Linked DNA regions of Sus scrofa. The protein of the gene in region 1 purifies or fractionates together with the protein of each later gene. This does not show direct contact. Links are inferred from orthologs where the notes say so. Each region holds a gene or a part of one and is shown on either strand. Other genes may lie near its edges. The genes, in order: SLX4 and PGAM5.

Evidence for each region.
Region 2: the proteins of SLX4 (region 1) and PGAM5 purify together in Homo sapiens (affinity purification with mass spectrometry; 4 studies listed by BioGRID and IntAct, with this or other methods). This does not show direct contact. The link is inferred for Sus scrofa from reciprocal best matches to the Homo sapiens genes SLX4 and PGAM5.

What each region holds. Positions count from the first base shown.
Region 1 is NC_010445.4:38,653,246-38,657,058, forward strand, and holds part of SLX4 (structure-specific endonuclease subunit SLX4), read left to right. Parts: intron 1-866; exon of another isoform or gene 867-1,613; coding exon 1,614-1,803; exon of another isoform or gene 1,804-2,780; coding exon 2,781-2,993; exon of another isoform or gene 2,994-3,813. UniProt on the Homo sapiens protein: Regulatory subunit that interacts with and increases the activity of different structure-specific endonucleases.
Region 2 is NC_010456.5:22,775,071-22,778,018, forward strand, and holds part of PGAM5 (serine/threonine-protein phosphatase PGAM5, mitochondrial), read right to left. Parts: intron 2,803-2,948; coding exon 2,624-2,802; intron 2,017-2,623; coding exon 1,891-2,016; intron 1,805-1,890; coding exon 1,716-1,804; intron 1,607-1,715; coding exon 1,473-1,606; intron 1-1,472. UniProt on the Homo sapiens protein: Mitochondrial serine/threonine phosphatase that dephosphorylates various substrates and thus plays a role in different biological processes including cellular senescence or mitophagy. Modulates cellular senescence by regulating mitochondrial dynamics.

The DNA.
Region 1 (3,813 bases):
CAGCTCCGATTTCACCCCTATTCTGGGAACCTCCATATGCCACGGGTGCAGCCCTAAAAAGATGAAAAAGACCAGGATTGACAGAACATTGTAAATCAACTATAATGGGAAAAAAAACTAAAAAAAAAAAGTCCAGGACATCCGTCCTTTAAAATTCCCACTTCCTGGGCTTGCTTGTTTCCTCCTGGTGTCACGTAAGCCCTTCTTGCAGGGTAGTGCCCTGTCCTGCACATCCCAATGCCCAGGAGACTCACAGTGTCAGGCGGTGCTACTCTTTATCCTCTAAACAAGAGGAATCCTCCTCCCTGTGAAAATACAAGGAAAAGAAAGAGGAAGAAACCATATCGCCAGACCCACAGCTGGTAAATGCTCAGCCTCTTGCTGCTGTGCTTGCAGATTTTACCTCAGGATTACTGAGGATCCTCAGGCGACCCCCAAGGTTCACACAGGTGACAGCAGTGTGACATCTGCCATGGAGTCAGTCCTCAGGCCACCAAGGGGTACAGAGGCGTCACCCAGCCAGTGCATGAGCCCAGCACCAGGCTTCCATGCCACCCAGTTGTTCCCATAAACCTTCCCATCACACCCAGTAATACTCAGGAAAGAGAAACCACTTATTTGTGTTTTTTCGGGGTGGGGGGTTGTTTCTTTTTTTGCTTTTTAGGGCTGCACCCACAGCATAAGGAGGTTCCCAGGCGAGGGGTCCAATCAGAGCTACAGCTGCTGGTCTACACCACAGCCACAGCCATGCAGGATCCAAGCCACGTCTGTGACCTGCACCACAGCTCATGGCAACGCCAGGTCCTTAACCCACTGAGTGAGGCAAGGGATCGAACTCAAAACCTCATGATTCCTAGTCAGATTCATTTCCTCTGCGCCACAACAGCAACTCCCATTTATTTGTTTTTTTTTTTTTTAATGTACATATATATATATACATAGATAGGACCAAAATGAAGTATGCTGCTTTTACAAAGTTCTCAGGGCATATCCCTTGTGAGTGTCAAAGGTCTGCTCCAGCAACGTCAGGTGCAACAGAGGGCCGCCGCAGTGGGCACGGCCACTTGGGAGCCACCTCACGATCAGAATCAGTCCATCCTCTGCTGATGCTGAGAAGAGGCCTCTGCTTTTTATATCGAGTGCGGCACCTCACTCTGAGCTGGTCGAGCTTTGAAGAGAAACCTTAATAGGCTGGTTGGGACTGGAGCCCTGCTGACCGGGAATGCTCGGGTTGCTGACTTGAGCAGAAACAGGAAGTGAAAGGCAAGGCAAGTTTTTCAGGACCTTGATGCTCAGAGGCTGGTCCTGGACCAGCAGCAGCAGCTCTGCCTTGCAGGTGTCAGAATGCAGACTCTGAGGCTCCACCGAGACCACCCAAGTGCCAGCCTGCGGACCTGCATTTTGCGAGCTTCCTGGAGGTCCTTATGCTGTTAAAGTTCTGAGGACCACCTCCCTGCCCCCCCCGCCCCACTGCCTAGTGTCAGGACTTCCAGACGGGGCTGCACCTGCGGCTGAGCAGTGCTGGGTCTGCCTTCCTCACGCTCCGCCTGGTGTCTGTGTTCCAAGAGGTCTGAGGAGGAGCGGTCCTCACGGGTCCCTGTGCTTCTCCACAGGGTCTGGGCCTGGGCTCCCTGCCACAGACAGCAACACTGCTGTGCCCCTGATCCTCCAGCAGGAGTTTGGGCAGGAACCGGCACCTACACGAGATGACAGCCTGGAGGACAAGGGGTTGTTCTTTTGCCAGATCTGTCAAAAGAATCTCTCGGCCATGAACGTGACACGGAGGGAGCAGCATGTGAACCGGTAGGAGCAGCCTGGCCATCACCCGTCTGTGGCCACCTCTCCCATGGTTGTGACCAGCCTCGGGCCCCTGGGCTGTGGTGGGAATCTTGAGACACTCTGGTGTGACAGCAGCACCTCAGTGTTGGTGTGAAGCTAAAATTGCTTCTCTTTGGAGTTCCCATCGTGGCACAGTGGAAATGAATCCGACTCGTAGCCATGAGGATGCGGGTTTGATCCCTGGCCTCACTCAGTGGGTTAAGGACCCGGCGTTGCTGTGAGCCGTGGTGTGGGTCGCAGACGAGGCTCGGATATGGTTGCTATGGCTGTGGTGCAGGCCGGCAGCTACAGCTCCCATTCAACCCCTCCGTCAGGGAACTTCCATATGCTGTGAACAGTGCAGCTGTGTTACTTAGTGTATTCACAGAGTTGTGCAGCCATCACCCCCAAAATAGCAGGCCCATTAACAGGCACCCCCATTTCCCTCTTTTTCTCAGCCACTGGCAACCACTAACCTGCTGTCTGTCTCTGTGGATTTGCTTGTTCCGGACATAAGCGGACTCACAACATGTGGCCTTTGTGTCTGGCTTCCTTCCCTCAGCAGAGCGTTTTCAGGGTCCGCCCGTCCGTGCTTTTTTCCTTTGGGGGTCGGATGACACTCCACTGTCTGGAGGGGCTTTGTCTTGCTTATCCATTCGCCCACTTGTGGACCTGTGGGTTGTCTCCTCCTGGATCTGCCTGAGGACCTCCTCAGCTGGTGGGGTATCCACTCCGGAGCGGAGCTGCGGGTCACACGGTGCCTCTGATACACCCTTGCTTTCCTCAGACGCTGCTGCTAACAGAAGCCTAAGTTCAGTGTCTGAGGCGGAGGGCAGGCTGCCTGGAGGGAAAGGGCAGGCTGCCTGGAGGGAAGGCACCTTGGCCCGTGCTGTGCGTCGTGGATCCAGAGCAGGATCCACCCCCAGGGGGGCGGGGCTTCTACCTTTACTGTCTTCCTCCAGGTGCCTGGATGAGGCTGAAAAGGCCCTGAGGCCGTCCGTACCTCAGGTGCCCGAGTGCCCGATCTGTGGCAAGCCGTTCCTCCGCCCGAAGAGCCGGCTCAGCCACCTGAAGCAGTGTGCCGCGAGGATGGAGGTTGGCCCGCAGCTCCTGCTCCAGGCCGTGCGGCTGCAGACAGCTCAGCCTGAGGGGGCCTCCAGCACTCCCGCGCCGAGGTGAGTCAGGGGCAAAGAAGAAACGTACTCTGACTGGTTTAAAAAAGCCTGTGGAAGTGCTGGAGGCCAGCAGCTCTCTGCTTCTGAAGATGAAACATCTCAGGAGGAAACCGGGCCTAGGCTTCACAGGAACTGGGGAGGAGAGAGAGCTCCATCCTCGGAGGCTTTGAAAGGGACCCGTTGGATTGGACTGGTTTCCTCAAGGTCCTTCCCCACAGGCTGAGCAGCTAGGAATTCGGCGGTTTTCCTCCCCGTGCCCACTGTGGGTGGGGGGCAGCATGGCTTCCAGCTCAGTGTAGTCCGATTTTCATACCATTAATTTAAGACTACTCAGCATAGGAATTCCTGTCGTGGCTCAGTGGTTAACGAATCCCACTAGGAACCATAAGGTTGCAGGTTCAATCCCTGGCCTTGCTCAGTGGGTTAGGGATCCGGCGTTGCCGTGAGCTGTGGTGTAGGTCGCAGACACGGCTCAGATCCCGAGTTGCTGTGACTGTGGCCTAGGCCGGTGGCTACAGCTCCAACTGGACCCCTAGCCTGGGGACCTCCATATGCCACGGGAGCAACCCAAGAAATGGCAAAAAGACAAAAAAAAAAAAAAAGATTTCTCAGCACAGTTCAACTTGGTGAGACAGAAGCTTAAGCCTTTTAAATTTGCATGAAATAAATGCTTAAGTGTTTAAATAGAAGGCCTTGCTGATAACCAGAAACAAGTGCTCTGTGTGCAAACCATGGCACATGTGGCAGAGGGTGACTTCCCTCCACATTGCCCCTTGCACTGCGGACGCCAGAGTAGGCCCCAGTGGTACAGGGAGCAAAG
Region 2 (2,948 bases), on another chromosome or scaffold:
ACCTGTAGCATATGGAAGGTCCCAGGCTAGGGGTCGAATCAGAGCTGCAGCCACCAGCCTACGCCACAGCCACAGCCACACCAGATCCAAGCCACATCTGTGATCTACACCACAGCTCATGGCAACGCTGGATCCTTAACCCACTGAGTAAGGCCAGGGAGCAAACCCATGTCCTCATGGATACTAGTTGGGCTCATTACTGCTAAGCCACAATGGGAACTCCCCAGCAGCCCTGTTTTCAGCACAGGCACCATTCTTCCAAGTCCCAGCCATTTCTGGCCTGTCTTCAGCACTGGTGGCGCCATCTAGTGATGTAGGTGTCACCCAGGCCTGCCTCAAGCTGACCCTTCCTCCCAGCCGCCAGGCTTCTCCCCAGGGCCATGAGTGTGACACCTGAGGGCAAATGGCCCCAAGTGAGAAGGGCGACCCCCACAGCTACCACCAAACACTTTGCAGCGGGTCCAGGGGGAGGCAGGGTTCCAGTTACTCCAAATCTTGCACTAAGTAGGATTTGGGCAAATACAGAAGCACTCAGCTGGCCCTCCATGTGCAGGGCTCTCTGTGACTTGGGGCTGTGGCTCAGGGCGGGGGTCACTTATGAGGGCCCTGGAACTCTCTGTGGTGCCAGGAAGTAAGAAAGTGATCAGGGCCAAGGACACAGGAGCCCCTGGAGAGCTTACACCATCCAACACTGGAGCAGCCAAATGACTAATGTGGTCAGATTACAAACAACCCAGCCTGAAACAAACCCATGAGCCGACGATTGCAAATAATTCCAATTAATAAAGGGAGGGAGTTCCCTGGCGGTGCAGTGGGTTGTCAATTCTGTGGCTCAGGTTCGATCCCTGGCCTGGGAACTTCAACATGCTGCAGATGTGGCCAAAAATAAATATATAGAGAAAAACACAAAACCACTAAGTAAAAACTACCCAACAACTGTAGTGGCAGCACCTAGTGACAGGTGCTAAAGCCCATGGGAGTTAAATCTGGGGTGTCAGCGTTGCCTCCTAAAAAGCGCAACCTCGGAGTTCTCGTCGTGGCGCAGTGGTTAACGAATCCAACTAGGAACCATGAGGTTGCAGGTTTGATTCCTGGCCTTGCTCAGTGGGTTAAGGATCCTGCGTTGCTGTGGCTCTGGCACAGGCTCCGATTGGACCCCTAGCCTGGGAATCTCCATATGCCACGGAAGCAGCCCTAGAAAAGGCAAAAAGAAAAAAATAAAAATTAAAATAAAATAAAAGTGCAACCTCATGGTGCAAGGACCCAGAACACGGCGCCTGAGCTGAGCGGCCCCATCAGCACCGCTGGGAAAGTGGCCCACCAGGGCACATCAGTCTGGTCTGTTCCTACCAAAAACACTTGGTCCTGAGAAAAGCAAATTGAAGGCCGTTCTACCAGACAACCAACTCAGCCTGTGGAGAGCATTGGGGTACAAGGAGGGAAAACGGGCTGCGTGACCCCAGGACCCTCACCGGCACACGATGTAACGGATGACATTGGCGTGGCAGATGAAGATCTCATAACTGTCCTCCTGCTGCTTGGCATCAGCCCGGTGGATGTAGTTCCGGAAGGCAGCCTCGATCCTCGCGCCATCTTCGTAATACTGCTGGGGGCAGAGAGAGGACTTGTGCGGATGGAGGCCTCGCGGGCATCAGGAAAGGAGGGCCCCGAGTCTGGGCACAGCAGAGGGGCTGCCTGCCCCGGGGAGTTCTTACCACAGCCTCTGGCTTCCAGTGAGACACTGGGGGATCGGGCTCGATGGGGGCGCCCTCCCTGAGCAGGTCTGTGCTGACCCTGCAGACGCCTGTGGAGAGGCACAGGGCTCAGTGGCACCAGGAGAAGCTGCCTGCCCTCCCCACTGCCAGGCACCTGAGAGCGCCTGGCACTCACCTGGCAGGTGTTTGCTGATGATGTCAGTGGTTTCTATGGCGCGGGTCATGGAGGAATGGACGATTTTATTAAATTTCAACCCCAAGCTTGCAAGACGGAGACCAGTTAGCTCAGCCTGCTCACGACCTGGAGGGTGAAATACACCAAGGATCACATGTTACTGGGGCCACTCTTTGTCTGCCTCACAAATACTTCAGTCCCACTGGGGGTGGGGGCAAGACAGGCAGCCCCTCCCATGGCTCAGGCCTAACTAGGGGACCAAGCTTTCAACAGGTAAAACCAAGGAAACAGAGCAGCCACCTTCGGCTCCACACAGGAAAAACGTTAAAAACAGTGACCACAACAATAAATAAAAAATAAGCAGGGAGTTCCCCTCATGGCTCCGCAATAATGAATCCAAATAGTATCCATGAAGACACACGTTTGATCCCTGGCCTTGCTCACTGGATTAAGGGGTCCGGCGTCGCCATGAGCTGTGGCATAGGCCGCAGATGCAGCCCGGATCCTGTGCTGCTCTGTGGCGTAGACTGGCAGCTGCAGCTCCGACTTGACTCCTAGCCTGGGAACTTCCATATGCAACTAGTGGGGGCTGAAAAAGCAAAAAATTAAATAAAATTGATGACGTTTTCAGAGCCTGCCTTGTGTCAGTTCTGCCTGCTAATTACTGGTGATGACAACGCCCACATCTGGGCAAGAGCCCCTGACACAGGTCCAAAGAGGCCCAGCCACTTACCCAGGGGTGTCAGCGTGCGGTCCTTCTCCAGGGAGGCGTCCACATGGTACTGGGAGTGCCTGATGAGGAAGATGTGCCGAGTGGCCTTGGCTTTGTAGTGGTCCAGCCTGGACGCCAGCTCTTCTTCTCCGGGTTCAAGGTTCCTCTTCCGCAGATTGACCAGGGATAGAGGTTCTCGCCTAATGTTGAAATAGGAGAGACAGTCTTTCTGACAGAGGGGTTTCCCATCTTGAGAAAGCACAAAAGCAAAGGCCTCCGTACTCCACCCCTGCCCTGAGCACATGCCACACATCCCAGAACTCAGCACCAGGCCTTCTCTGGGCCA